Arabidopsis thaliana: one gene and its partners. The protein of the gene in region 2 interacts with the protein of the main gene of each other region in a pairwise test. Each region holds a gene or a part of one and is shown on either strand. Other genes may lie near its edges.

Region 1 (10,086 bases), on a different chromosome or scaffold from region 2:
TCGAATCAGCAATTTCAAAGATTCGCTTAATATTGTGAACCAACTTTAAAGATGTGGAGTTCTCTTAAACAGTTTTAAGTGTCTTCATGATACTTAAAGCAAAGATTCTACAATTTTAAGATGCATGACAAATGAGTCCATAAGAATTTTGATGAATTTTTAAAGGTAACTATGATCAAGGTCAATGTTTAAAATAAGAAATCAGTAAACAAGATCAACTCATTTACACATTTCCTACCGAACCACATGATAATTTAAAATATGGAAGAAAAACACGAACCATTGTCGATTGATAAAGTAACATGGGCTGTTTTTTCTGTGACCTTAGAGTACAGAGACAAAAAAGGCACTCAGTAGAAGTATAACTCGTAACGTCTATATGTGAATTACATGGGGCATTTCCTAAAGAAATTTATAGTACATTCCTACACATGATATGTGAGAGTGTTATTTTGTTTCTGTATTCTTAAACAAATAAAACAAAAATAAAATCGAATGACATATACGAAAATATCAAATCGAAACCAAATTTGTAAGTGTTTGTCTATTAGTAAGTAGTTTTCATTTGTAGGTTTGTTCCCTTCTCTTCCATGTTTATAATTATTATATAAAGCGTTTGTACATGATTGGAATCCTTGACGAATTCAGTATTTAACTTTTTCTTGCAACCGTAAATCTTGTTTCAATCAAACTAATAGATTAATTAATTTGAAGCATTACAGTATTTAGGGCTTTTCTGTGGTTTTCTATTTTTATATAATTTCATTTCCGATTACTGTTCTAATAACCGACGAGGAAGCATGAAAAGCAAAGTAAGTTGTACAGACAACTTCCTGCGTCGGTGAGAAAAATATATACAATCCAAGAATCAGTTGATGACCTTTATGGCTTTATGCCTTTACGATTTCAACACTAAAGTAAGAAAAGTAAAACACTTACTTTCTTCAATTTAATACCAAAATAAAATTAAGAAAATGAAAGTAATAATTGTGTAAAATTACTCCACAAGGAACAAAAAGGACAACAAATTTTAATTCAAACTATATAGGCTGCATAAACTGAATTTCTTTGAAAGAATTAATACCATCACTGGAGTATATCTTGCTCTTAAACATCCCACTTTTGTTCAAAAAAAAAAGAATGTATTTGCACAGAATGACAAAACCTTTCCCCAATAATTAAGTAAATGACAAGAGTAATTATACCTTTGTCTATGAATGTATCATATTTTGAACAATTTATTTACCTCTTTCTGTTAAGGAACGATGATGGTCTTCTGTTTTTTTTTTTTTGTTATATTTCTTATGTAGACATCCAAATTTACCAAATATAATTGAGTTAATTGTATGCAAGGCATCATAAAGTTAAAAACTTATAAGATCCGAAACATTGCAGAAGTGATTACGAAAACCGGCACTTCTTCCTTTGTAAAATAACGCTTCTACCCTTGTGTTATCATATGGAGAAAACAAATAAAATGGAAAAGGAGATTCGTTGATTTTGGAGGAGATGAATGATCAGTGTTGGAGTTGGAATTCAGCAGCTGATAAAGGAGGACTATATGGGCGATGAAGATGATGAATAGAGGAAGCTCGGTTTAAAAACCAAAATTGGAGATTCCATGGCGATATCTGATTTCGGATCACATGATTTTCCAAACAAAAAGTCAATTAGGTAATATTTAAAGAGAGATCAAGATGTCTTTGAGTTGATTTAAGATTCGATTATGGTTTTTGGATTGCTTTCCAATGGCATAACTATACAAATACACAAAATTTGTTTCATATAGAGCTTAAGACATCTTACAAATGACCAAATGACATAGAATATTACCCAAATGAAACTAAACCGGAGACTCCAATTATAATCGGTTGAGCTGGTTAAAACCATCAAGCTAAGTGGTCAAGGGCCTAGGATGATAAGGCCATCTACATTGGTAGATTCTCAAAAAAGAGTTTCTCATGAATAAAATATTGCTTATTTTAATTGAATTCAGATAAATTATTAATTTTAATGAAAAAAAAGAAAATCAACCATTCCTGAAAAAACACGTGGCCAGAAACGTCTCTCAGAGTTTCTGAAAACAGAGACGATTCTCACTTCTCTCTCTTCTTTTTCACCACTTTATATTATTTTAATAATAAGTATCTTTTCTAGATATTGCAGATGGAGGGACAAACGCTCCTCCTTCTCTCTATAAAACAAAGTCGCCGCCGTTGTTGCTAGGGTTTCGGTCCCAGTGACTTTTTCAGCACCAGAACCGAAATTTCTTGGTTTCTTCATGTTTAGTTTTTGTTTTCCTTCCTCTCTGACAGATCTGAACCTTTTTTTTTTCCAACGGTTTCAGATCTAAAATTTCAGATCTAAATCTACAATTTCTAAATTTTTCGTCTTTGGATTTTGCTGCTTGTTTTTGTCCCTTTTATGTGCAGCACCAGTTCTGGCCGTTCGAACCTCGGCAGAGGCGAGTTCTTTCACCGCCTTCAGAAGTAGATTTCTCTCCTTTGAAGATCTCGATCTCCTTTCTTCTTCTTATGACCATCATCATTTGGGTCGCGGGGTGTTTGTTTGTTCACCGCCGTTTGTGGTAAAGAGAGTCCTGGTTTTGTTGGTTTTGTTTTCCTTAGTGTGAATCTGTTTGTTTTTATGGTGATTTAGACTTTGTAATTTTATTTTTGATTTTTTGAGTTTGGATTCCGAGAAGATTGGTTCAGATGCGTGTATTTGTATGTTTGAGTTTATTTCCTCTTTAATTTTTCTTAATTAGATTTTTGTTTCTAGGAGTCTACATGTACTCGCCGGCTTATGTCTTTGGAAGGTTTGATTGCATTGCCGCCTATTGTATTCAGAACTTATTTCATCAATATAATTTACCATTCTAGTGAAGAAAAAAAAAATATTGTTGATGGAGGTGCTCTAACTCTTCTAATCCTAATACTAAAAACAAGATCGTTGAAAATTAAAAAGAATAATCCAATTAGAACAAAGGTACATCTTTCTTCTTTGGATCTAAAGAAATAATATACTCCCAAAAGTAGAATGTACACTTGGTGAATGGGACATGAAGCACATGTGTGGAAGCTAATATAGGAGTTTTTCTTCTCACGTGTCTTTTCCTACAAAGCTTCATGATCAGTTGATCACCTCTCCGCTTACACTTGTCTTAAAAAAAAAAAGCCAACGCTTAGCGTACCACACAGATTATAGACTTCTGAATTTTTTGTTGGCATGAAGTTGCTCTGCCAAAAAAGGGTCATCACCCTTCTAGCAAACAATATAATCTCAATCTCTTTACTGACCAAGCCTCCCATTTGTGATGATGGGGTCATCCAGGATGACAAAAATTGTTTGGCTGAGATCTTATCAATCAATTGACCAATAAGCATAGTTTCTATTTCACATTTTTTCAATCTGGTTATTCCCATATCCGCCTGCTTTTTGTAACTTATGAATAAAAGTATTAAACCAAAAAATTTCTGATTTCTAAACCTACATTTGATTTTATCTAATCTCCTTTCCACATCACAAAACAAAACTATGTAACTGTAGTTATAAGTTATTGGCTTACATATAAACTATGTATGTTTTTCTAAGTCATTGTTTTTTGGATTCTTGAATTGATAAAGAAATTCATGACGATTCTGTATGGAAGAACTGCGAACTTTAAAACTCTATTTTGACTGTAATCCCTAACCACTAACCAGAGAAGACTAGAGAGAATATCAAAGAATCAGTGAAATTGTTTCAGTTACTAAATTAAACGAATACAGAGGTCAATGAACTCGAAACATACCCACCTGAGCATAGGAAGGAAGAAGGAAGAAGGAGAAAATAGACTGGAATCATCCTCTAATTCTATGTAAAACAACATAAGAACAAACACTATCTACACATTACATAACTTGGTTTAAAATTCAACTGGCCAAAATCTAATCCAATAGAATAGGAATACAAAAACAGAGTAAAAACAGAAAGAAACCGCTATGACATAACCACTAGAAACTTGTAGGCAGTGTTTTTCATGTTCTGATGTAATTAGGTTCATCAAACTAGTTACTTGAGGATTTATAAAATCTAAAGATACTTAATCCGTGCTCCGACTCACCACAAGTTCATGTCATCACTGAAAAATCCAAAGAACTTTCAGCCTAATCCTAATGGTGTGTTCTAAAGAACTCCAAATCCAATCGACCAAACACTACACAACCTATAAGCCATAGAAAGCTGCATACACCAAAGTAAGACAAACTCACATGTTCCTGTCACCACTGAAAAGTAACAGAACTTCAGCTTAATCGTAATTGTAACCCAATTTAAAAAACGTTACATAACTCAATGGTAAGCTGCATAGAGACACTAATGGTCACCAAAGCAAAGATGCAAATGTGCTTAAAGAAACTGAACAAAACAATAAACTCAACACACCACTCTAACATTCACAAAGACATAACCCGATGATACTAACCGTAATTACACAATGAATGACACAAATCAAACGATGTGGTTGTTGAATACACATCAATCAAAGCAATCCAAAACACACATAGCAGAAAAGGAAAACAATTTACCAACAAAGATGCATTATTGTTAAATATCAAATCCCATAAAGCCAAACCAAGCAACAAAATGAAGACACTTGCACTCATATTAAGGAAGAAGAAACATCTTCAAATATGCATAATACCAAATCCACAAGTCATCATCATCATTACAAGAACAGCAAAACCCTAAGAGACAAGAGATTATAATAAGGAAGTAAAACCAAATTTCTCAAGCCTCACTCTTCTCCTCCTCTGAAGCAGGACCAGCATCATCTTTAGAAACCTCACTAGCATCAGTATTAGCATCCTCCACACTTCCATTTCCAACACTAGCATTAGATCTAGCCTTAACAGATTCAAGCATCCTCTTACTAATCTCTTTAGAATAAAGCTCAAGAATCTTAATCCCATCATCATCACTCGACACAGCATTCGAAGCAACACCATAAGCCTCTTCTTCGATAAGTTTCGCGACGGTGGTTGCATCGTCAGATTTAAGAGTACCGTATCTCTTAGAGAGGATTGATTCGGTGGATAAGGTCTCGATCAGGCGATTCAGAACGGCGTCGCGAGTTTTCTGAGTCGGTGGCCAGATTCGGAGAGAGATTCCTCCTGGTTTCTTCTCTGATTCGGCTTCTTTCGTCAGATCTGTGTCTTTTGAGGCTGCTTCTTGAGATGTTGGATCTGTCATTGCAGAAATAGTGGTGGAGCTTTCGGATTCCGGTGGCGGCGATGAGATCGTGGTGTTGATTGTCTCGGCGGTTTCTGCCATTTTCGAAGTTTAGGGATTTTGGAGATTCTTTGGAAGGATCAGTTATGACGACGGTTCACGAAATGACAAAGTCTTTAGAGTTTAGAGTTTAGACATTGATTGGTTTGGTTCGGTGTTATTATAAATAATTAAATAACCGAAAATTCAGGAAGTATTTGAAATTTAAACTTTGTGTGGTGGAGAAAACTATAGTCAATATAAATATTTCAGTTATAATCTTAAACTTACGTTCAAATCTTTTTATGAATTAATTACGGTTTTATTTTAAATTAATTACATAAAATACAATTAATAATAAAAATTTCAGCTAATTTTATTGATATCAGATGAAGATAATATCAGTATATAAAATACAATAAATGTTTTAAATATAAATGTTTTGTGGAAAATAGTATATATATAAAATCAAAATAAGTAGGGTAACTTGATTTTTTCTTACAAATTATTTTCAACTGAACTAATCTTTAGGTAATCCAAATATTATTTTACAAAATCTAAATAGGGTAATAATCATAAATGACGATAACCACTACATTCTCATTCGACTATCTTTTCAAGCGACTTTGTATTATCTTTGGAGAGAGTGGAATGAGAGGAAGCTCACAACAAGAAATGTCGGACCCATATGCAGCTTCTAGCCATGATCGAGAAAACCATTCACTCTCGCATCATGTCATTGTGTTACTACGAGAAACCAAAACTTAAAGATTGCTTCAAACTTTGTATGTGACGAGACCCCTACATTAGTCACTGCCAAGATCTGTCCTCAAATCTTTGATCTGTTTTGTTATGTCTTGTTTTTGTATATTGTCACATTCTCATTGTAAATTATTAGTTACCAATCAACAAATTTTACATCATAAAAAAGCAGTCAAGAGATTTTTTTATTTTAGAACTATTTGGCAATCAAGTTTGAAAAATATATTGGGTGGAGGATCAATTGAACATGTGGATGATGAGTAAAATTAGTTTTGAGTCTAGTTAAAAGGTGATCAAGGTCTATTATGATATTTGGTGAGCTTAGAAGAAATTAGAAAACATAATCGTTTCTCAACCGAATGTATATTCGCAACGTTTCTTCACCTTGAATTTGCCTTGGGTTGGCTCTGCTCTAAGGAGGTGTCTTTGTTGTTTTTGATTGTTTGTTGTGTTTCTTCACTTTGATAGGATAAAGGTTTGTTCCGCATGATGTTCCAGTGAGCTTTCAGTGTTGGATAGAAGCGGTGATTTGGTCTAGAATGTCTATATTATATTGTGGGAACTGATTTTTCTAGTTTTATGCTTGAGAATGGTGGCCTTTGGTGGCCAAAGGCGGCTTTTCTGGATGTTCGTAGATGCTCTTTTGCTGTCAGGTAAGTCTATTCTAGCGGTTTTGTTTTTGTGTTAGTTCTCAAAAAAACTATTAGCGTCTTTTTGTTTTAAGGTTTTGAAGATAGACCTCATAAAGAAATTGCTCGTGGTAACAATAATGAAGATTCAATTTTTGTTGGAGATGGGACAATTATACAAATGTCTGAGCCTCACGGTTCAACATTGATGTTCTTCATCGAACCTATGCTAGCTGCTTTCCACTTAGCTTTCATTATAGTTTTCGTAAGTTTATTTAGTTATAGATTTTGGTCTTTATATCTTCTTTGTTTTTTTCTGTAATCGTTTTCACAATTTAGACCATACTAAACAACATAAAATTCTCAAAATTATAAAATAATCACTATAAAAAAAAATAAAAAAGGATCAAAATTTTATTTAAAAAAACCCTAAAAAACTAGTTAGTTTTAAAAAGTCATGATCTTGTTTAAAGAAAATTGTACATTTAACAATTCTAAATATTTTATTAAAAAATATAAGATTAGTAAAGTACAAAATATCACAATCTTTTTTTTTTTTTTTTTTTTTGTCAAAGACAAAATATTACAATCTAAATTATAAATTTAACAGATGTCTTCGAAGGGACAAAAATGTCAAATGTCAAATTTGTTTCTGAATCGAACCACCACGGCCAAAACCCCAATCTTTACCGGTCAAAAACATTTTCAGGCAAAATCTGAAAACAAAAAAACATAAATCACCCGCCCAAACAAATTTCAGAGAATTTTCGCACCTCCAAAATTTTTTAGTTGACTCCCAAAAAACTCAAACTCCAAAAAAATCACAGAGAGCGCCACAATCAGAAAAAATGGCGCTTTTGCTCTTCCCTTTTTCTTCCCCTTCTCACCTTCTCTTCTTCCACTCATCCGATCTCTCAATCCTCTCAAATCTCAAACTCTCTCTTCCCATCACTCTCTCGCTCTCTCTTCAATCTCATCTCAATCATGACAGAGCAAGAGATCTGCGTGAGGGTTACAAGAGCGGCGGCGAAACGAAAAGCTTCGACGGCGATGGGTATTGACGGAGATCGGGTCAACAAGAAGAGAGTTGTTCTCGGTGAGCTTCTAAACGTCTCCAATGTCAATCTCTTGGCTAATCTCAATCAGAAGAAAGAAACCCAGAAGCCAAAAAGGAATCTTAAACCTCCTCCGGCGAAACAGATTAAGTCAGCTCCGGTGGCTATTATTGACCTAGAATCAAAATCTGACATTGATTCTCGATCTGATGATCCTCAAATGTGTGGACCTTATGTTGCTGATATCTATGAGTATCTTCGTCAACTTGAGGTAATAATGATCTTGTGTTTTGGATTTAGAATCATTTACTTAGTTCTTGAATTGGATCTGAATTGGATTTGGTGAATTCAGGTGAAGCCAAAGCAGAGACCTTTACCAGATTACATAGAGAAAGTTCAGAAAGATGTAACACCAAGTATGAGAGGTGTTTTGGTTGATTGGTTAGTGGAAGTTGCTGAAGAGTATAAACTTGGATCTGAAACACTTTATCTCACTGTCTCACATATTGATAGATTCTTGTCTTTAAAGACTGTTAACAAGCAAAAGCTACAGCTTGTTGGAGTTTCTGCTATGCTTATTGCTTCGTAAGTGTTTTATGATTCTTCCTCTCTTGTGTTTGTTGTCATTGTTTATGTATGGAAGCTAATGGAAGTATTGAAATGTTGTAGGAAGTATGAAGAGATAAGTCCTCCTAAAGTGGATGATTTTTGTTACATTACGGATAATACGTTTTCGAAACAAGATGTTGTGAAGATGGAAGCTGATATACTTCTTGCTCTTCAGTTTGAGTTGGGAAGACCAACGATTAATACTTTTATGAGGTTAGATTTGTGTGTATTGGTGATGATTACTTATTGGTTTGTCTTAGTTTCATTGTTCTGATTTTGTGTGTTGGTGTTTGTGTAGACGGTTTACTAGAGTTGCACAAGACGATTTCAAAGTTCCACATTTGCAGCTAGAGCCTCTTTGTTGCTATTTGTCAGAATTGAGTATATTAGATTATAAGACTGTGAAGTTTGTGCCGTCTCTGTTGGCTGCTTCTGCTGTTTTTCTCGCTCGGTTCATCATCCGTCCGAAACAACATCCTTGGGTAAGCATATTTGTCTCAGTCTCTTTCAGGTTTTAGTCTGCTGTGGTCATTGTTTAGAATGAGACACTAATGATTTATGGTTGTGAATATGTAAACAGAACCAAATGTTAGAAGAGTACACAAAGTACAAAGCGGCTGATCTACAAGTGTGTGTTGGAATCATACATGACTTGTATTTGAGCAGAAGAGGAGGTGCTTTACAAGCTGTTAGAGAGAAATATAAGCACCATAAGGTACTTAAACATTACACATTGATAAAATCATTTGAATAAGCAGAGCTTTCTTGATACTTAATGTTGCTTCTTCTCGGTACAGTTCCAATGCGTTGCGACCATGCCTGTTTCACCAGAGCTGCCGGTTACCTTTTGGGAGGATGTTACCATTTGATCTGAGGTTATGCTATCTTAAGCAAATGTTACGGAGCTGGATTACCGAATCTTGTTTCAAATAGTATAATGGACACAGATCTTCAAGTGAAGCTAGAAGAGTAAGAAATATAGAAGTGAAGGCAGGAGCAAATAAGTCTGCGTTATGTGAAGATGTGTGATGTATTATTGAAATCTCTTCTTTTTTATTTACAAAATTTTAGTGTGAAATTCGGAATAATATAATTTTATACAATTATGCAATATGATATAAGTATTTATGTGACATGATCTTATTTTGTTTAAGCATTGAGCCTACTACTGTATGTTTATACTTAATGAAAATTCCTAGAGGGCTAAAACTCTAGAAGACATTGTTGTTAATTTAAAGAAACTAATGAAAATCTCAAGAAACAAAAGAAAAGAAAAGATTGTCTATGAGATTGATAATCAAGTTTACTAAAGAGAGATTAAACTTGAGAAACAAGAAACAAGGGAGCTTTAGCGATGACTTGAAAAGTTTCGGTGTGAAGATCCAAAGACAAAACCATGGTTTCAACTTTCACCCTCGTGTGAACCAGTGAAGTGAGCCATCAACATACACAGGATCTTGGGTGTGAGAAACCAGATAAGGGGATGCAGGACAACGTACCTCCAAGTGTTGGTTGCAAAATCAAAAACTTCACAAGTTGTAGCGTTCTCGTTTAGGCCTAACTCAGCGGAATAAGCAAATCAAATCGAAATTATAATTAGGGTTCTACTTTACAATTTTCTCCAAAGTAAAATTACAAGTTTTAGATTAAAAAAAGATAATTATATGTAATTACTTTTTGAGATTTTTAATCAAGTAAAAAAAGGTAATTTCTCTAAATTAACACGTTTTGGAACGATTTTTTTTTTAATTTCCTTTTTTTAATTACTTGGGATTTCGTGT
Region 2 (12,022 bases):
GGCTTGGGCTTGGATTTCATTTTGGGTCCATCAAATTTTTCATCAACTAACCTATAAAAGGAAAAGTGAGCTTAACTCTTTTCTATAATTTCCCTAAACCCTGACACATGATATATTAGAGATAAGGGTAAATTTTCCTCTTTGTTCTTCGGTTGTTTCTTTTTGTCTCTCTGTTCCTGAGCGACTGAGCATATATATTTATTGTGATTTTGTTTCTCACTTCACATATACGCACTCTGCAGATATATGGTAATGAAATTGTTTCTCGTGCATTAAAAACATATCTATTCTCTCTTACTTATTATCTTCATCTCTTTCTAATACGTGGAATCCTCTCTTACTTATTATCTTTATGTCTCTGATTTGTGTTTTCTTGAGTTTTTTTTAATGATTTTGATGATTTTAGAGAAGTTCATATATTTTTGTAAAATCCATTCAAATTTCACCTTAAACTATGAGATTTAGATTTCTGTATTTTTAACTAAGGAAATCCTCTCAAATCTTCCAAAATCATTAAAATTCAAATCCACAAATTATGGATTTTGAAATCATTAGTTCAATAACACTGAATTTCATGAAACTTTTTAAAATCATTATAATATAGGATTTATAAATTCTACACAAATCTCTTAAAATTCCACTTTCAATACATCCCCTAAATTCTCTATTTAATTTCCAATTTTCTAGTATCTAATTCCTATTTTTTATTGGACAAAGTATGTATGCATAATGAAGATTTTCATATCTAGTACTTTTCTCCGATTGTTGGATTTTCTAAATGTATTTCTAATTGTTGGAACTTTCTTGTCACTAATTTTTTTTGATACTTGTGACAGAGACGTGGCTCAACATTACGCGAACGAAAACGTTGACACTAGATACACTAAGATATACGTGGGAGGTCTGCCTTGGGAAACAAGAAACGAAGGTTTGAGAAGTTACTTCGAACAATTTGGAGATATTATACATGTTAATATGGTTTGCGATAGAGAAACGGGACGATCAGAGGGTTATGGTTTTGTCACGTTTAGAGATGCTGAATCTGCAACGAGAGCTTGCCAGAATCCAAAACCGGTCATAGACGGACGAGAGGCCAAGTGCAATCTTGCTTATATTGGTGGTAGGGTTAACAATAACCAAAACGCCCAACAACAACAAGTACTACCTATGTACCCAACTGGGACCAGTTTCCACCACCCCAATATCATACCTACACACCTTATGGTTATTGGACACCCCATGGCCCTTACTACGTGAACCAACCTGGTCCTTACTACTTGAACCAACCTGGCTTTTGACTTATGAGCCATCTCTTTCGCTGTTGTCTGAGACACTACTTGTTGTTCTATTTTCTGATTTCAGGCTGTTTAGTCTGCATGATTCTAATCTAATTATGTTTACTTTCTTATATACATTGCATCTCTTCTGTTCCAAACAGAGAACAAGAATCTAATTTTTCAAGCCCTGTTTATTCTAGAATGTTTCTAAATTTTGCCTTATAAGCATTTATATAGACATTGGCATAGTAAATAGTAAATACTGTGGATTCTTTTGGCTTTTGAATGTGAACTTGACTTTTTAAAGTGTTGAATTCTGAGACAGCCCAACCTTTTTTGAAGCTTCTTTCACACTTAAATCATTTTCAACCTCATAAAAAAACCTACAAGATCTATTAAAATATAAAAATCAAAATCTACAGATTTATCATCTTTATGATCAACAATGGGAAACTGTCTAAAGCCTCTCAAAGAACAACCTCCTTCAGCTTCTCCCAAGCCTCTCACCATCCCTTCAAGTTCAGGTACATCTCCGTTTTCAAATGCACTTTCTACTTTTGTTTACATATATAATAATATCTTAATACGTCTTATAAATGTAAAAAGTGGAGCCAGTAAAGGAGAATTTGAAAGAGTTTAGATTTGCCGAATTGAACAAGGCAACAAAGAGATTCAGAAAATACATGGTCATAAAAGGTAATGATAATGGGTTTACTCGAACATTCTACGAAGGCTGCATCAATGAGACAACCTTTGCTCCATCAAGAACTGGAATCACTGTTTCTGTCATGGAATGTTATCAAGATAATTCGCAGACTCTACAAGACTGGAAGGTAACCAAAATCTTACGCAACTACTATTTCTATCTCTTTGATCTTATTTATGTATGTTTTGTTTAGTTACTTATGCATCTGATGGGTACAAAAACTATTGAGTTGCAGGAAGAAGTGAAGTCTCTTGGACGTATTTCTCATCCCAATTTAGTCAAACTTTTAGGCTATTGTTGTGAAGAAAACAAATCATTCTTAGTTTTCGAATACTTGCATAAAGGAAGTTTGAACCGTTACATTTTCGGAAGTTAAGATCTCTTCTAATCAATGGGTCCATTTATAAAATCAGTATACTCAATATTGCCTTACAGTTTCATGTTTTCTCAACAGAAGAAGAAGAAGCATTACCGTGGGAAACACGGGTCAAGATAGCCATAGGAGCAGCTCAAAGTATTGCATTTCTACATTGGGTCAAGAACAGCGCGCTATATCGAGAACTCAGAATGTATAACATTTTGCTTGACGAGGTAAATGACTTTAGAACACTCTTCTTGCTGTTCTTATTGTTTATAACCTTACAATAATGCCTGAACTTATAAATTTCATCAGCACTACAACACAAAATTGTTCTATCTTGGATCAAAGAAACTATGTTTGTTAGAAGAAAGCGTGACGACTGCATTCATAGGAAGAACTGTATATATACCTCCTGAATATGTAATCTCAGGTACACCAAAATCTTAAGTTTTGTTAACGAACACTCTAATTAATCTTTCGTGGTTCGATGTTTAAGACAGTTGTGTAATGTTCTTAGGTCATTTGGGAACGAAGAGTGATGTGTATACATTTGGTGTGATATTGTTAGAGATTTTAACTGGTTTGAAAGCTTCAGATGGTAAAAAGAATGAGAACATGCAAAGCTTACATGTATGGACTAAACCTTTCTTGTCTGATCAATCTAAAATCCGGGAAATCATCGATCCTCGACTTGGGAACGATTATCCTGTGAATGCAGCGACACAAATGGGAAAACTCATCAAAAGATGCATCAAGTTGGACACAAGGAAACGACCATCGATGCAACAAGTCTTTGATGGTTTGAATGATATTGCAGAGATTAAAGATTAATGTGTAAGAGTTAATGAGATTTGAAGCTGAACAAGTTTGGAATAAAAGTTTGAAACAAAGAAGATAAAATCTCCTTCTATGTCGCATCAACTCTTTTCTTTCATTCTATAAATGAGTCCTAGAAAAATTTCCACAAACTTGCCTTATATGGATACAGACATACCCAAACTTGCCTTCTATGTCTTTTGCTTTGTTTTGCCTGAATGAGAAATTGAAAATTTCAAAGGGTTGAATTCTGAGGCCAGTCTAAACCTATTTTTTAGTAGCTTCTTTAATAAGTTACAAACTCTTATTAAAACCCTATAAAGATTTGTTAAAATCTTGAAGCCAGAAATCTACATATCTTTCTAATCATCTTCTTCTTTCCTTCAATGGGAAACTGTCTAAAGCATTTCAAACAACAACTTCCTTCAATTGCTCCCAAGCCTCTCATTATCCCTCCAATATTTTCAGGTATATCTCTGTTTTTGAAAGCACTATACTTTTTGTTTACGAATAATGTCTAAATACATTGTTCGATTTATACGTATATATGAAAAGTGGAGCCAGAAAACGAGAATCTGAGAGTCTTCAGATTCGCGGATTGAAGAAAGCGACAAAGAAATTCAGACAAGACAGGGTCGTAGAATGCGAGGATTACTCTGTTCGAAAATTCTACAAGGGCTACATAGATGAAACCACATTTGCACCATCAAGAGCTGGAACCGGAATCGCTGTTTCTGTCATGGAATGTGATAGTTCACGCTCTTTACAAGACTGGATGGTAAGCAAAGTCTGTTCATTTTTACGCAATATTGATACCTATCTCTTATTCCTTGTTAGTCTTGTGTACTTATCTGATGGGTACAAAAACTATGAGTTGCAGGCAGTAGTGAGGTCTCTTGGACAGTTGTCTCATCAGAATTTGGTCAATTTCTTGGGTTACTGTTGTGAAGACAACAAACCATTCTTCTTGGTATTTGAATACTCGCACAAAGGAAGTTTGGACAGTCACATTTTCGGAAGTTAAGATCTTTTCTAGCTAATGGGTCCATTCTAAGATATAGACAACTATTGCATTACCTATAGTTTTACGTTTCCCTCAACAGAAGAAGAAGAGGCATTGCCATGGGAAATACGGGTTAAGATAGCCATTGGAACAGCTCAAGGTCTCGCGTTTCTTCACTCGATCAAGAACAGCCCCCTAAACCGAGAACTCAGGATGCATAACATTATGCTTGACGAGGTGGTAATTGTTTTATTTCCATCCTTCTTCTCTCTTTTTGTTTATGATCTTAGAAATTAATATCTAAGTTTGGATTTCATCAGCAATACAATGCAAAAACTGTTCTATCTCGAACCAACCAAACGAAGCTTGGTAGATGAAGGTCTCAAGAGGGGAAGATTTACATACCTATCTCCTGAATGGGGATCGTTAGGTACACGAAAGCATTAACTTTCGTTTTACAAATTCTGAAAAATCTTTCGTTGTTCAACGTTAAGACAATTGTGTAATGTATGTGTTAGGTATTTTGGATATGACGACCGATGTTTACATTTTTGGTATGATCTTGCTTGAACTTTTAATGGGTTCCAAGGATAGAAAAAAGATTAAGGAAGAGCAAGGCTTAGTAGATTACTGGACCTCATCTTTCTTGCCAGATAATTATAAGATTGAGGAAATAATCGATCCCCGACTTGGGAGCGATTATTCTGCGAATGCGGCGACACAGATGGGCACACTCATCAACCGATGCACAGCGCATAATACAAAGAAACGGCCATTGATGCAACAAGTATTGGATGGTCTTAATCATATTGCAGAGATTAAGGACTAATGTGTAGAGAGGTACTAATACTTGACACTGAAAAAGATATTGTAATAACACAAAATACCAGTGTCGGGGTTAATTATATAGCAGATTTTCTGTAACTGGGTAGCCAAAAAGAACTAAAATATAATCTGTCATTGTAAACTATGACAAAGAGAGTACAAAACTGGAGACTGAGATTTTGGAAAAAGTTAAAGACTCTTACATGTTTTGCTGGGATATAACATAAGCTATCGACGATATTAAGATCACGAGTATTGCAACGAGAATGTGTTTGAACCTAAGAGCTCCAACATCTAATCTCCTTACACTTCCAATATCTGATTTTGAACCTGTTTCTTCCTCCTACAAAAAGGTGACCACGGTTACTAACGTCAAGCTTAGATTCATAATATTCGATTGTTGGACTAAAGCTTAATGGTATAACTCACTTAGATGCCAGCAAAAGATCAGATTTTTTGTAAGGTAGAATTATGTTACCTCTGGATTAGTTAATGAAATGAAGGTGGCTTGAAGTCTACTTCCTTGATGGCAAGAAGAAGCATTCTGGTCCGACTTTGGTGAAACTTCACTTCCATTGCCACTTTCCATATAACCAGTTTTTCCAACCTTTTTCAACTTCACCATCAACACACAATTCTCTCTTGACAGGTTAGTTATCTGCAAATAAGTCACTATATCTAAGAATCCACTGTGATGATGATGAAGCTACAAGGACATGAACTAACAGCGAACTGGGGTTTTACGAATATGGTAATACCTGTTTATGAAGTCGTTCTCGTTCAGCAGCTAGTTGCATGACCAGTTTTTTCATGATCTTGTTATGTACCCCGATATCTTTGGCGGTTCGCAATTTTCTTTCTTCTGCTTGCTGTAAATATTTCTCCCCTTCTTTCAATCTACCCTTAAAGAATTTCAGTTCTTCGTTGACCTCTGCGTTAGACTCAGATACCATGATCAACTTCTCTTCGGTAATGTCGGCCCTGTTTTCAGCCTTCAAAACTTTTGATTTTAGATCCTCGATCACATCCTCCATATCAGAAACAGTAGAATATAACAAGTTCTGCTTTTCTTTACTTGCTTCAACAGCTGCAACTGCATGTTCTAGTTGTAGATCTGAGTCCCTCAAGTGTTTCTCAAGCGATGCTAACTTATGTATAGTGAAGCCCTTGTCTCTGAAATTCCCCAACTCGTCTTGAAGCTCCTTTTTGCTTTCTTCTAGGATTTTGCACTTGGATTCTGTTTCCTCAGCCCTTGCTTCAGTTTTGGCTAATTTATCTTTCAGTTCCTCGTTGATACGTTCAAGATCTGTTATCAGAGCACCAGAAGTAGCATCCGCATCTTCTGTTTGAATCCCATATTCATTCAGTTGTTCTTCAAGGGAGCTAACTTTCTCACTTAATGTGGAATTCTCAGTGTTCAACAAAATCAATTTTTCTTCAGCCTCTTGCAAACTCTCTTTTAAGCCTTCTGTTTGTGCCACAAGAAAGTCAGCAAGTCTTGCATTGCTGCTATCAAGCTTGTGCAAGGCGCATTCCTTAGCTTCTAAACGTTCCTTTGAATCAACAAGCTTAGACTTCAAGTTGTCTTCCCGCTTAAAAGAGCCACTTAGATTGAACTGAAGAATCTGGAGTTTTCCAGACATCTCCTTTGACGTTCCCTTAAAGACTTCAGCAGCATTATCTGCCTCAAGCCACCTGGAGAACGCATCTTCGGTTACTTCTTCCATGTAGACAACATCCTGCTCAGAAGAATACAGTTTCATCTCTAGTTCTCGTTCAGTATTTCTTGATTCACTTAGTTTCTTCTCAAGTTCCATCTCCTTAGCCAAAGATTTCTCAAGCATCCTTAAAACATTCCTTTGCTGATCAGCAGTCTGCATATTGATCTTAGCGCTCAGATCACCAAACTCACCATCGTTTTGAGACACTGAAGTTTGCCCTCCAGACCCTGCAAAAACAAAGTTATATAGTATTCATTAAAGCCTGAAATTTTTCTCACCAAGTGATCATCACAACAAGGTTAAAAAGAAAGCTAGATTGGTCACTTACAGCTTCCTTGTTCATCCAAACCAGAAGATAACCTCTGAAAGTTAGAAGATTGCTTCTTCATTTCCACTACTTGTTCCATTAACTGACCCAAAGATTGTTCAGTATCATTCAACTTCCCTTCCAAATCCAAGAAAGCTTCTCCATCATGTTGAAACGGAGATATCATGACACGGGCGCTTTGAATCTCGTTCTGGAGAAAACCAAGAAGCGATTCAAGTTCTTTCACCTCTGAATTGAGAATTGAAGACAAGAGATCAAACTCCAATGCCTTCTCAGCAGAATCATCATCATCATCAACATTACTCGAAGGCTCTTCTTCATCTTCTTCTTTCTTAGAAACAAAAGACTCAAAATCATTTTCCCTCGTGCCGAGTTGCATAGTAAGAAGACTAAGATTGACCAATTTCTCAGAGACAAAAGCAAAATCCAATTCAACTTTTGTCAAAACTTCGCCTGCACTTGAAAGTTGAGGATTCATAACTTGCCCAGTAAGCGAGAGATCTTCAAAAAAGCTTTCTTTCGTTGAGCTTGGCTCAGGTACAAGGCTGTCGTTGTCATCGACAGAGACAGTTCTATCATGTTCCGTTTCTGTTTCCATCTTTCAATATAACTGCAACAGAGAAAGTATAATCACTTTTGTCAAGTAATTGAATTAAGAGATCGGAAACAATAGAGGTTCTGCTAAATCACAAGAACTTTTCGATTCCTGAGGAAATCTAGGTAAAAGTTCCGATTTTTTACTTGATTCCGATCGAGATTGAAGCAAAATGAATGAAAAGGAGAAAACTTACAGTTAGAAACGAACGACACGACGATTAAGATCAAAGACGCTTCCTTTAGAAGGAAATGATCGAGAGATACAGAGATCGAGAAGAAGAAGAAGAAGAAGGACTCGGATTTGTAATTAAACGAATATTGTTTGACAGTAACTCTTTACTAATTTTTTAAGATGCTTTTATTAAAAAAAAACTCGAGTATCGAAAATACACGTCTCTGTTCTATATTTTGTTTGTTTCCAGATTTGGGACATGCGACTGTTACACCAAATAGACTTGACAACAACAACAACAACAACAACAACAACAACAACAACAACAACAACTAACTGAGAATATGAAAACTGAGATACCGCCTAAAAAGTAATTGAATTTATTTTAGTCAATTCTCAACTCTACATTTACAATACATAGCAGATTGCTATTCCAAAATCAGGATATCAAATGGGCTCTTGAATTCAGAATGTATTATCTACAAATTCTGTTTAAGAAACTCCTCTTTAAGTCTCTTGTGAAGGTAAATCCCATATGAGAAGGTTAAGCTAGCTCATGAGAAGCAATGCTTCACGAGTTCGGCCCAAAAGACTCAAAGCGGTTGCTGCTATGTGATGTCCAGTTAGCCCTGCAAGAGCAAGCTGCTCCCTAGGCGATGCTTCTTCTATGTAGCCATCCGGTAACACAATGGGTCTCCACTACACAATGTTAAGAGCAAAATTACAACTTAAAACCAAAAACAGGTGAGAACATGAGGTTTTGATTTGTCTCTCTACCTTGATATTCCCATCGAGCTGGCCATCGAGGGCTATGAACTGCGCCACATGAGAACCAAACCCTCCAACACAGCCTTCTTCGACAGTGATAAGGAATTTGTGGTTCTGACAAAGATCACGCACAAGCTTGATGTCTAGGGGTTTGCAAAATCTTGCATCAGCTACAGTCACGTTCAAACCGAGTTTCGAGAGAAGCGAGTGAGCATGAAGACAATTCTGAACCATCGCTCCATAACCAAGTAAAGCCACATCTTGACCTTCTACGAGAACTCTTCCTCTTCCGATCTACTCTAATATGATAAAGCAGTTCTTGTGTCACCACGGTCTGTTTTTGCAACCAAAAGATTTGAAGATTAGATTGGAACTTACTTCAATTGGTAATCCAGTGGGGACAAGATAATTCATGTTGACGATGGAGCCTCTAGGGAACCGGAAACATACTGGGCGGTCAGTGACATAAGCAGCAGTTGCAACCATATTTACAAGCTCATCCTCATCGGCTGGAGCCATGGCTATCATGTTTGGTAAGGATGACATGAAAGCTATGTCAAAAGCTCCACACTGCACTGGACCATCGGATCCAACAAGCCCTGCGCTTGTAATAACAAATCGCACCGCCTTTCTCTGCCGATCTACATCATGGACCACCTAAAGAAACCATCAAAGACACTAAGGCCATTTGCTTGTAATAAAAACCTTTTAGAACAATTTTATTTTGTGCTAGAGGAAAGTGAAACCTGGTCATAAGCTCTTTGTAAAAAAGCAGAGGGAATAATACAAAATGGCTTGAGACCTCCAGAAGAAAGACCAGCAGAGAATGTGACAGCATGCTGTTCAGCCATTCCGACATTGAAAAATCTGTCTGGAAATCTCTCCTGAAATGTAAGAAGTGACGGATCCATCTCCATTCCTGCATGAACTACAACAATATCTCTATCCTTTTCTGCCTCCATCACCAAAGCCTCAACAAAGCAATCACTGTAAGTGCGTCTGTCTGAGACAAAAAAAAAAACTACAAAGTCAAGATTTTGGATAAGCATATATTCTCAGAAAAAATAACATAACCAGACAGATATACCTTTGACCATGATGTTCTTTACGGTTTCTGCATCTCGGTTTCCCTCTGTGATCACGTGGACCAACACAGGACCCATTGAATCTAGAGAAGATACTTCTCGGAGAACACAAACTAGATCTTCAATGTTGTGTCCATCAACAGGACCAATGTAGTACAAACCAAGTTCTTCAAAGAGAGTTGATCCTGTTGGTCCAACCATACCGCGAGCATACTCATCGACTTTGGCTGCCCATTCATACATTCCCTTTCCAATTCTTTTCGTCATAGCCTGTCAAAATCCACACCAAATTGTTAAACACCAAATTTGGAGCTTCAAAATATTTAGTCAACATTAATTGTTAAACACCAAATTTCCAGCCTCATAATTGTAAGCAACTACAAAGTTTCAAAAAGAGAGTATGGAAAATGCATACTTTGGCTAATTCTCTAAATTTCCGGAAAACTTTGCTAGATTGGATTTTGCTCATGATGCTAGAAAGTGCGCTGATGGATGCCTTGGATCCCTCCTCCATATTTGGATGTAAAGAGTGACGGCTATCATTCAGTATAACAATCATATTAGAATCCAAGTAACCAGCATTGCTCATTGCCTCATATGCTTGACCAGCAGTTATTGTCACATTGTCGATCACAGCAACAACCCGGTCCCTCTTTCCTTTCATATCTCGAGCAACCGCTAATCCTAAGAAACAGAAATAAACGTTCAGCATACCATATCGATAATAGCATTAATTAGCTAAGTCTACTTCTTGTTTTACAAAAAAAGTAAAAAGCTAAAACTATAGGCAACTGGACTCTTTAAAAAGGGTGACGAAATTATTACCGAGCCCAGCAGAAATACTGTTGCAGCCATGCCCGGTTCCAAAGGAATCATATTCACTCTCCAAACGAGAAGTGACCCCAGAAATACCACTGTTTTGTCTCGATGGTATTGCAGACCAACGTCGTGTCAAGACCTTATGTGCATATGTCTACAAAAGACAAAAAAAATGCTGTTAACACCACAAGAAACTCATCAAACCCTTGTACCAAAACATAAGAAAATCTAATCATCAATCCCCTGAATTTGAAAACATAAGCTTACTTGTTCCACAGCATCCCACAATATATTGTCAACCGGGGCACGAAAAACATAATGCAGAGCAAGGGTAAGCTCTATTGCAGCAAAGCTAGGATTCATAGACTTTTGGGTCTTCTTCCATAATACAGAATGAAGCTCCGTACGGATTTCATCAGCTAATAACTTCAACTCCTACGAGAAGAAAAACCATCCCCATTAAACTCAAGCCCTTCAAGTTATCATTCAACTACATATGGGTTAAGAACATGAAGAAATCCACCTTAACACTCAAATTCTTCAACTGCAATGGAGTTTCAATGCTGTCTAGTATTGGCGTCTCAAATTTCTCATCGCAGTATCCATCAGTGTTTGGCAAAGAACATACCCGAGCTCGATTTGAATATTCCTAGATATCAAACGCATACATTAGGAGATTCCATCGATGGCAAAAAAAATCCAAAATCCGCAATTCATAAACGAGACCCAGATTGAAAGTTTGGCACTTTAGTGTTATTGGCATAAACGAGATTAAGAGAGATAAACAAAGACGGGTCCTTTACCTTGTGAGTGGAGCTTGGAGCTGAGAATAGGCTTTTTATGGAAACATCAAGTTTACATGGAAGCGAGGAGACAGTAATATCTGAGCTCAGATTAAAATTGCCGTAAAATCGAGCTGATATTCCGAATTGGTAACCAATCGAAGCCGAACCCATTAAGAGAAAAAAAGCCTCGAAAATCAATTACAACGGACGAGGAAGATGATATAATTCTGAAGAAGAAATGAAAAAATTACAAGAAATTCGAAACAAATGCCGCGAAAAACGCCCAAAATGTTGACATGTGGAGAATGGAGAAGCTTTAGCGAGAGAGAATCCAGAGCAATTGGTAAAGAGAGAAGAAGAAGAAGAAGAGGAAGAACATTTTTCATTCAGATATAAATTAAAGCCCATAAAGAACCCAATTAGATTTTAGTTGGGCCTAATCCATAATTCTGATTATTATTTTTTTGTTGTTTCACATCGACATGTTTATAATTACGATTTAAAAATTTATCGTTGAACTTAAAAATCATCAATATATAAAACAACAACTTTAAACAGATCAAAATCCAATGATGTTATTGCAAGATTGTTAGACGAGTATTATATATATATAAAATATAATGATTCAAAGAAGATCGTTGAATTGTTTGAATACGAGGTCGAGGTTGCATGTGGTTGAACCACATGAAGACAATAACTCATTCTTCATCTCAAGCTCCTTTTGTGGATCCAACTTTGAAACAATCAAGATTCTCGCAG
Region 3 (10,019 bases), about 14 Mb from region 2:
AGTGATGCAGGTAAAATAATGTTTACATTTATCAATTATTTGGTTTTTAAAACGCATATGCATTCACTAATTGTGGATAGAAAGCTACACTAATTAGTTCAAGCATTTTCTGCAATGTCTAGGTAGGCGCTTGTACGTTAGGCGGCTATGGATGGTAAGGATTTTTTTTAAGACGTTAAAATTAAACGGTTTTGTTACTAAGATGAGTTCAACGATCTTAAAAGGGTCTCAGTGTGTTCCTAGACGGTTCTAGGCAGCTCTATATAATTTTGAACCAAATACCATTTAGTGAAGAAATAGGTGATAGAAGCCGTAACGAGATCTGCCCCTCCGCATATATCCGTCTCACTTCCTAGGTTCATATCTTCCAGTTATAGTTTTTACGTGTCCTTATTTCCAGTCTGCGTTCATTGAATCAACAACTTTAAAAAGCCTACTTTCATAAATATTCAAATTAAAGAATCAACAACAATGTTAATCTAAACGCTCTCACTGTATTAGTGTTACATATAAAAATATTTTCATTTTTTGATAAACTAAAATACAAAATAAATCATTAAACTTTTGGTAGTGCCTTTTTTTCCATATTCCTTAAATCTTTAGATTTTCATGGCGCATGACTTAAGGGTGGCTAAAATACAAACCAACAAATTAAAGGCGACACAACTAGTGTTGTGAATGTACATTCCTTTGTTACTTTTTTCTTTTTACCACATATTTCTTAATATTTCGGATAGAAATTTACTAATTTATATTTACAATTTTTACAAACACTATTGAAATTACCATTAGATTAGCTCTCAAAAATCACAATGGTAACATATATAGCTTTTTATTAAAGTCACAGAGTTCAACAAACATACCTTGTGGCCAAAGGAGGTGGTAGTTGAAGAAACTCGTTCGACTTGCAATATGAATACACGTCAATTATTTTGTCCGTCTTATTTATAAATAGTAAAAGATTGAAAACATGAAGACTTCAATTAAATATGTAAAAACGCGATACACAAAATCAAATAGTCAAACATTCTCGGTCAAGAAATAATGCCCTTCGCTTACACACGCACACACAATCGCATATATACATATAAAATCACGAAGACATTCTTCTTAATCTCAAAGAAAAAAAAGAGAACAAGTATCGAAAGAGAAAAGAAGAAGCTAGCGAAAGAACTCAAAGAAGTTTTTTTAAAAAAGTTATAAGAGATGGAGAAGAAGAATGTGTTTCTGTTGTTTGTGATCTTCTTATTGGTGGGGTCATCATTGATGTTTGAGAGAGTTGATTGCAGAGCTCTACGATCAAAGGCGTTGAGAGATATTAAAGGCCATGATCAATCGTCGGTGATCATGAAGGTGAAGAACAACTCGACAAGTCAACGTCCTTTGGGGAAGAGCTTTGCTTACCGGTTAGCGTCTGGGCCGAGCAGAAGAGGGCGTGGTCACTGATCAACAACTACCACCTTTGGTCGATAAGTGTAAATCGAAAGATTTGTTTCAGCCCGTCGAAAAGAAAAGAAAAGAAAAGTATTTTTCTTTCAGGCAAATAACTAATTAGTGTATTGTTTCATAGTTTTTAATATAGTCTTGATTTGTGAGCTTTTTCTATATAAATAGAAATATCCTTATGGAATGAGAGGGTTTGTAATTATTTACCAAAATTTGAGCGTAACCAACTAAGAGCATACTTGCCAAAAAAAAAAACAAGGATTAGCCTAAAGCATATAGCTTAATGCCACATAAACCAAGTCTGTAGAAGGTTTCCGAAGCATTGGATATTCCTTTTGCCTAGAAAAGTGTCCCGGATTTGGCCATCAATTTCACTTGAAGAATAGTTTTATTGATATTTAGTGGTGATATACATTAAAACTAATGTTAGAAATGTGATTTTTCAAGAAATAAAATATTTTTTTCTAGCTTTCAAGAAATAAAATATTTTTTTTTCTAGAAAAAATGTGAGTTAGACTTTTTAAAATTTCACAATTTGATATAGTTATATGTATAAATATTTAGACCTTGTGAGTTTTTTTTTCTTAGAACCATATATATGTGAATTTTGAACCCCATATCAAATAATGTGGTTTAAAATTTTGAGCTGACATAAAATTAATCACCTATCTGTTATACTAAATTGAATATCCTTACTTGCATTAGTTTTTTTGAAATTTAAAACGTTAATATAAATCATTAACTTTAACGATCATAATATATTTATTTGTCGAAAATATAAATCACCATTAATTTATTACGTTACAACTTACATGTATAGTGTTTGTTGATATGTAAGGTTTTCAATGACGTTTAAATAGATGAAATAATTTCGTTTCAAAAATAACAAATACAAACCATTTTTCATTACACTATATTCATATGATAAGAATAAATTTATTAAAGTTATGTTTAAATTAAGCACTTAAATATTATTATCATTGTTGTAGCTTTGGTGTGTGCGTTTATTCTAATTTTTTAGTAGAATAAGCTATAAGCAAAACCATTATGAAATACATGTCTTATTAAATTTTTCCTAAATGTTCGTTGAATATTATTGATGTTGTCTTTGGAAATGGAATCATCTTTTCTAGAGTTTAAGAAAGCACTCCCATAGATATATTGATTCTTTTAGTATTATCTTTCTAGTGACTTTGAATGAATGAATTTTGTCTAGCTTACTCCAAGCGGGAACCAAAAAAGGATTTGAATCCGGAACGGTAACTAAAGAACAAAAACAGTGGGGTTTAAAATTAAACTCTCGAATTCCAAGGCTCCAAAACCAATAAAGAGTAAAGACAAAGAAAGAGTCAGGAGGACATATCAAAGGCAGATTTCTGGTTCCAAGAAAAAAACTATTTGACTGCCCAATGCACATGAACAACTAAATTCCAGTTTTTGAATCCAAAAAAAAAAACTTTCAAATTTTGTAAAAGTTCATTAGTTGTAATCGCACTATGCTTCTAACCCAAAAGAATTAACGAAAGTAAGGGGAGATATGTTTTCATTGTCACAATAGTCACCTAAACCATAAAATTAAAACTACTTATCTTACAAAAATGTCTAGTTTCTCTAATGGTTTAGATTCATGTGATCTCGAATACCTAAACAAAAAATACTACGCATATGTCAAAATGAAGATGTATTTAACGAGTTGCTAACACTATTAAGAAAGCAAAATCAGCCAAATCCTTCCTTTTTGTTTAATATTCAAGCCTTGCTAATTACCATGATTAAGAAAGTGTAAAACCTTGCAATTAACAAGTAAATCACCATAATTCAAGAGTTTATTAAATCACAAGTTAACGAGTTAATTACCATATGATTAAGACAGATAATTATCCAAAAATTTTCTTTTACCATGATTAAGCAAGCGAAATCATCCCATTAACGAGTTAATTACCATGGAAATTAAAACGTCAAAACCAAATCAACCACAAAATCATATTAGTAACAGGTCCCAAATCCACAAGTTATACAACAAACAAAACTCTGAGATAGATAATCGCATACCAATCTAAAACAAATAAAAAGATAGTTAGAGATAAGAGAACAACACCATATTCAAGCCTCGTCAAGCTTCACTTGAATCAATCTTCGAATCAACAGCTGATTCAATTCCATCACCATCCTTCGGTGGAGGAGAAGCCACATTACTCTTAGCCTTAACAGATTCAAGCATACGTTTACTAATCTCTTTAGAATAAGCTTTAAGAATCTCGATCCCGTCGTCATCACCGAATACGGTGGCAGAAGCGATGGCGTAAGCTTCGTCTTCGATTGATTTCGCGACGGAGGAAGCTTCTTCGGATTCAAGAGATCCGAATCTCTTGGAGAGGATTGATTCGGTTGACAGTGTTTCGATCAGACGGTTAATCACGGCGTCGCGAGTTTTTTGAGTCGGTGGCCAGATTCTGAGGGAAATGGTTACCGGATTGGGATTCTTCTCCGTCTCCGTTGTTGGTAATGTGGTGGAGTTTTCGGTTTCTGAGATCGGCGGTGGAGAAGAGGTGGTGATCGACTCCGTTTCGGTTTCGGCCATTTTTTCTGAGTTTATTTGTTTGAAAGCTTTTTAGGGATTTTGAAATTTGTGGCAGTAATGTTGTGGTGGGTGGGTGATAACTGATAAGAGAGGTTTGGTACGGTGTCGTTTAAAGAATTGGGTGGTGCGTTACATTAAGCGTGATTTATTTTTAAAATGATCAGACCGATCGGTAACCAAAGTATATTCATGTGAAAAAAACCTTCGTAGTCACCCATTTTCAAAATTTTATGTTCAAAAAATCAAGACAAAACGTTTGAAAGATTGAATACATATTTAAATAGAGTTAGACACCTTGCCTTTGTCATACAGAGATGAAGAGCGTGGTTCATCATGTTGTACGATATTTGCAAGAAGAACTAGTATAAGATCTTAGTGATTTTAATTTGTTGTGGCAACCAAAACGTGACCTTGCTTTGTCATACCAAGATATAGAGCATTTTACGAGCAATGGCTCAAAGATTGGATGTAATATTAAGAAGTTCTTTGACTAGAGTGTGAAATGCAAACGATTATGAATCAAATTTAAATGTTGATGTATGAACACGGTATTGAGCACGGTTCAGGAATCAAATTCATATGTATTTGCTTTCCCCCAAGGTATTTTGATGCCTTATTTGATGGTCTTCAACCTTGCATTCGCCGTAATTTGTAAGGAAGATTAAAGGTTCTGTTCCTATCAAAAAAAGATTAAAGGTTCTAGCCTCACCTAGTTTGGTCTTGGACTTGAGCGTGACCCTGATGATATCATATTTTATTTTATTTTTGATATAGTTCTCTTATTTTTGTTCTGTTTCAAAACTGATTAGTAAAAGTCACATGGATAATCAGGAGTTTAGTATAAAGTTGTTTTCCAGAAATATCATTACCCAATATGCGGTTCTTCACTTTATTATCTGAGTCGTTAGTTACCAAAACCGGTTTCAAGTAAAATAGTTCTTCGATGTTGGTAAGAGTTTTCTGAAACTTTACCCTTTACTTTTAAAAATATAAAGTAATCATACAAAGTCAAAAATAATACACAATGTACCTCTTTTTCGCTACCGTAAAAAAAATATTATTAAAATGTCAAATTGAGGTTTCGCGGTGAAGAGTTCAACTCAATTTTTAAGAATTTAGAAAACCTAGTGTATATGATTGTAAAACATTTACGTTATATGTATAAATGTTATATTGCGTGTTATGTGTATTCAAGATCAACATGGAAGAACATGGAAGAATCACGGTGTTATGTGTCTTCAAAATCACTAAATTTATGATAATATAAGCCAAAACATGGAAGAATCACGGTGTTATGTACTCAAGATCACTGAATTTATGATAACATAAACCAGAACATGGGATGAACATGGAAGAATCACGGTGTTATGTGTACTCAAGATCGCTGAATTTATGATAGTATATGCTAGAAGATTTACGTTATTCTCTAATAGCTTCGAACTTTATGACATTAATAAACTAGTAGAATTTAATATGAATTGGTCAATAAAAATACATTATCTCTATAAAAATGAAATCTAGTTTACCAAACTTTTGAAAAGATTTAGTTTTATAAGGATAGGGAAAAAAAACAAATTTAGCTAAATTTTCTCAACCAATTTTCTATTAAATAGATTCTTTTCAGAATACAAATTTAAGAATTCTTAAATTTATTCCATAAAAATCTTTGTTTCTGTTGTAACATTTTTTATTTTTAGTGCTATAGATGTTTTTGTTTTTGTTTTCTTATTACGTCATATGATGGTGGTATTCAACTACATACAATCTGCAACAATTCCACGGTACAGTTCTCCCTGCAACACTCAGATTTTCTATGAATGGTTGTACATGTATGATATCCCTGCGATGGACAAACTCTCTCCGCAATAATCAGACCACTATGAACGGCTTTATCCACCAGGCAATGAGGCCATAAATATTTTTAACAGTTGCTTAGAATTGAAAATTTTCTTTTTTGGGTCTTGTTCAATCTCATTGGGCAAGACAAAACAAATTGTTGTGTTAAAAACATTGGGAAAATTCCCAAAAAAAAACCGAACTATTTAAAATCTGCCAGAAAACTACCTGAACTTTTTTCGTTGTCAGAAAAATACACAAACTAATTTTGAGTGAAAATAAAATACACGATCTATTTTTTTTTTCCAATTACCTCTCTTCACCGTAACGGACCGTTAACGACGTTAACCAAATCGTCAAACACTGTTAGTTTTATTTACAGAAAATTTCTGGAAAAAAACCTAACTTATTTAATATTTGCCAAAAAAATACATGAACTTTTTTGTTGTCATAAAAATACACAAACTAACTTAAATTGGAAATATAATACACGATCTATATTTATTTTTTCGATTTCCCTAACCAAATTGTCAAATATTGTTAATTTTATTTACAAAAATTCTTAAAAAAGCTTGACTATTAAAGCAATCCTCTAAAACCTTAAGATCTTGAGTAATATCAACCAAAATCATGTTATTGATGGGTATATTTTATCCTAAATTACTAAATTTTTTTAAAATATCTATCGTATATCTAGATTCGATGTAAGCAACAATAAATTAAAAAAAAAAATACTCCCTTTGTTAACGAAAGTTCTTCTTATTAATTTCTTCAGTTTATTATGGTTAATATCTGAAATGGATAGATGTGTTATATTAACACTAGGATTCAAAGAGGTTCAACATAGATTATGGGTTTATAAGGGGATAAAATCGGCTTTATCGCCACTCTTATTTACCACGTGTAAAGAAAATGAAAAAATATATTTTTATTTAGTTAACCTTTTGTAACCATTACGATAAAGTGAGTGAAATTGGAACACAAAACTACATCATGCTCTTTATTTCAACTTTAAACTAGTTTGTATATATTTCTGGCAGCGAAAAAAAGTTCGGGTATTATTTTGGCAAATATTAAATAAGTCGTGGTTTTTTCAGAAATTTTCTATAAATAAAATTGAAAATGTTAACCGATTTGGTTAACGCCGTTAACGGTCGTTACGGCGAAGGGAGGTAATCGGAAAAAAATAATAGATCGTGTTTTTTATTTTCAATCCAAATTAGTTTGTATATTTTTTTGACAACGAAAAAAGTTCAGGTAGTTTTCTGGCAGATTTTAAATAGTTCGGGTTTTTTTGGGAATATTTCCTAAAAACATTACTATTGGGCAAGACATATTGGGCCAATAAACAAGCCCATTGACAATTTGCATCATCATCTTCCTCGTTTACGAATTAGGTCTTCCTGTGATACCAAATTTAACATTTCCCGGTGAAAATTTCGAAGCTCAAAACTCTAATCAAAACATCGCGCCAACACAATTCAGCTTCATTTTTCAAAAAATCAAAACCTGTAAAGAATTCGGAAAAACCGCCAAAATCCAAACTTTATTCCAAAAAATCACAAAAATGTCTCTTCGCTTCTTCTCTTTTTCTCACCCTTCTCACTTCCATTCTCATCCACCTAATCTCGATCTCAATCCCTCTCTCTTGAATCCAATCAACCATGGCCGACGAAAAAGAGAACTGCGTGAGAATGACAAGAGCAGCAACAAAAAGAAAAGCTTCCATGGAAGCGGCAATAGACAAAGAACGAATCAACAAGAAGAGAGTCGTACTCGGAGAGCTTCCAAACTTGTCCAACATCAAGAAATCTCGAAAAGCCACTACAAAACAGAAGAAGAAATCAGTTTCGATTCCGACAATCGAAACCTTAAATTCAGACATTGACACAAGATCTGATGATCCACAAATGTGTGGTCCTTATGTTACATCAATCTTCGAGTATCTTCGTCAATTAGAGGTAAAGAAACAAAACCCATCTCTAGATTTCTAGATTTCACAATCTGAGTTAGTTTCTCGATTAACACAATTCAGGTAAAGTCAAGACCTTTGGTTGATTATATAGAGAAGATTCAGAAAGATGTAACTTCGAATATGAGAGGAGTTTTGGTTGATTGGTTAGTAGAAGTTGCTGAAGAATACAAACTTCTCTCAGACACTCTTTACCTCGCTGTTTCTTACATTGATAGATTCTTGTCTCTCAAGACTGTTAATAAACAAAGGCTTCAGCTTTTGGGAGTTACTTCAATGCTTATTGCTTCGTAAGCTTTTTCTTGTTTTGTTTGTTTGAATCTCTCTTTTTTTGTGTGGGTTTGTTTATTTGGATTTTGGTTTTGAAAAATTTGTAGAAAGTATGAAGAGATTACTCCTCCAAATGTGGATGACTTTTGTTATATCACAGACAATACTTACACGAAACAAGAGATTGTTAAGATGGAAGCTGATATACTTCTTGCGTTGCAATTTGAATTAGGAAACCCTACAAGCAACACGTTTCTAAGGTTTGATTCTGATTCTTTTGGTGCTCATTGAGTAATGTTTTTGTGTAGTTTATTGTCTCATTGCGTTTTGCTTTGTGCAGACGGTTTACAAGGGTTGCACAAGAAGATTTCGAAGTAAGCTCTTTTTGAATTGTGGTATTTGCAATTTATAGAGAGTATCAAATTTGCTAAGAATTTCTCTTATTTGTTTCAGATGTCACATTTACAGATGGAGTTTCTTTGTAGCTATCTTTCGGAGTTGAGCATGTTAGACTATCAATCTGTGAAGTTTCTTCCGTCTACTGTGGCTGCTTCAGCGGTGTTTCTCGCTAGGTTCATCATCCGTCCAAAACAACATCCCTGGGTAAAGCATTTTGCAAAGCGGTTCTTGTTCTAATTCTCTGTGTTCACTACTTTATATAAGAAGCTAAAGCTCTGGTGTTGAATGTAACAGAATGTGATGTTGGAAGAATACACAAGATACAAAGCGGGTGATTTGAAAGAATGTGTGGCTATGATACATGACTTGTATCTGAGTAGAAAATGTGGAGCTTTAGAAGCTATAAGAGAGAAATACAAGCAGCATAAGGTAACCCTAAATACTATTAAATGATAATTTGAAGAACAATGTTCTTGAGATTCACATGTTTCTTTTTCTATTTGGTTCAATACAGTTCAAGTGTGTAGCGACAATGCCTGTATCACCAGAGCTGCCTCTTACGGTTTTTGAAGATGTCAACATTTAGAGACAACTTTTGGTAATCGGCATAGATAGTATAAAACCAGGTAGCGGTTTCGTTGGTTTCTTTCCTTGGTGTTTTGGCTTGTACATGTCTTAGGACTACTAGTGTGATAAAGGATCTTAATATATGTTTAAAGATTTTGGTTACTTAATGATTTTTTTTGTTTGGGTTATAATTCAAGCGTTCAACACCAATGTTGAACCATGCATTTCCATAAATCTATCTAATGGGTTGATGCCTAAGCCAACCGATGCAACTATACGTAAAAGATTGAGATCTTGTGCACTACATATTCCATTCTTTGACATCCAAAGCTTTCCACTTATCTTCAGTTTTCTTCGTTTTGATAAAAACAACGCTCCATCTTTGTTTTACATTATCGTCATCCAGACATCCACACTAGAACTCGCCATCAGTCAAAGAAAAACTTCTCAAACCAATATTTTGCAGCTGTTCACTATTAGGTTCCACTAGGTTGTATATAGAAAAAGAAGATTGGTTTGAGAAGTCGCTTCTTGTCAAACCAATATTTTGCACCTGTTCACTATTAGGCATAGATAGTAACCGGCATCTGCCTATGCACTCATGAAATCCGTGAATCATATCAGCTTACTGGTTTAGGCGTTAAAAATCGGTGTTAATCGGCTAAATCGGCCGGTTTAGTGTTTATTATTTTTCTTTCAAATATGACATCTTTATAAGTAAAAAACATTTAAGTAAAAATATAATAAAAATACTTGATTACTAAAACTAAAAATTTAAGCCAAAGATTTCTATCGATAAATATAATAAAAGAATAGATATTAATTTAATAGGTGATAAATGCGAAGTTTCCACGCGACTCAAATACATCAAAACTTTGACTATTGAAATATTTTTGACTATTTATTGTGCATGGGAAAGATTTTGACTATTTAATGTGCAATCTCTTT

Evidence for each region.
Region 1: the proteins of WIT1 (region 2) and WPP2 interact in a two-hybrid assay, tested with the Arabidopsis thaliana proteins (one study listed by BioGRID).
Region 3: the proteins of WIT1 (region 2) and WPP1 interact in a two-hybrid assay, tested with the Arabidopsis thaliana proteins (one study listed by BioGRID).

Annotation. Positions count from the first base shown.
Region 1 is NC_003070.9:17,293,411-17,303,496, forward strand, and holds WPP2 (WPP domain protein 2), read right to left. Parts: upstream 5,420-10,086; 5' UTR 5,314-5,419; coding exon 4,771-5,313; 3' UTR 4,421-4,770; downstream 1-4,420. Other genes in the region: CYCA3;2 (cyclin-dependent protein kinase 3;2), read left to right, coding at 7,626-7,967, 8,049-8,281, 8,366-8,518, 8,604-8,787, 8,886-9,020, 9,103-9,174. UniProt on the Arabidopsis thaliana protein: Regulates the mitotic activity in roots. Plays a role with HSP70-1 in facilitating WIT1 nuclear envelope targeting.
Region 2 is NC_003076.8:3,629,584-3,641,605, reverse strand, and holds WIT1 (WPP domain-interacting protein 1), read right to left. Parts: upstream 7,958-12,022; 5' UTR 7,829-7,957; intron 7,648-7,828; 5' UTR 7,636-7,647; coding exon 7,038-7,635; intron 6,937-7,037; coding exon 5,747-6,936; intron 5,647-5,746; coding exon 5,467-5,646; intron 5,332-5,466; coding exon 5,188-5,331; 3' UTR 4,993-5,187; coding exon of another isoform or gene 4,682-4,992; 3' UTR 4,672-4,681; downstream 1-4,671. Other genes in the region: AT5G11412 (RNA-binding (RRM/RBD/RNP motifs) family protein), read left to right, coding at 730-1,257; AT5G11410 (Protein kinase superfamily protein), read left to right, coding at 1,723-1,801, 1,884-2,110, 2,219-2,354, 2,438-2,574, 2,657-2,774, 2,862-3,175; AT5G11400 (Protein kinase superfamily protein), read left to right, coding at 3,547-3,628, 3,733-3,938, 4,041-4,179, 4,264-4,330, 4,484-4,593, 4,682-4,992; DXPS3 (1-deoxy-D-xylulose 5-phosphate synthase 3), read right to left, coding at 8,356-8,505, 8,584-8,868, 8,953-9,231, 9,321-9,577, 9,662-9,929, 10,075-10,343, 10,485-10,632, 10,746-10,913 and 2 more; AT5G11370 (FBD / Leucine Rich Repeat domains containing protein), read right to left, coding at 11,889-12,022. UniProt on the Arabidopsis thaliana protein: Together with WIT2, required for the nuclear envelope docking of RANGAP proteins in root tips.
Region 3 is NC_003076.8:17,285,700-17,295,718, forward strand, and holds WPP1 (WPP domain protein 1), read right to left. Parts: upstream 4,260-10,019; 5' UTR 4,028-4,259; coding exon 3,560-4,027; 3' UTR 3,266-3,559; downstream 1-3,265. Other genes in the region: AT5G43068 (uncharacterized protein), read left to right, coding at 1,207-1,446; CYCA3;1 (Cyclin A3;1), read left to right, coding at 7,528-7,824, 7,899-8,125, 8,213-8,365, 8,446-8,479, 8,559-8,708, 8,799-8,933, 9,019-9,090. UniProt on the Arabidopsis thaliana protein: Regulates the mitotic activity in roots. Plays a role with HSP70-1 in facilitating WIT1 nuclear envelope targeting.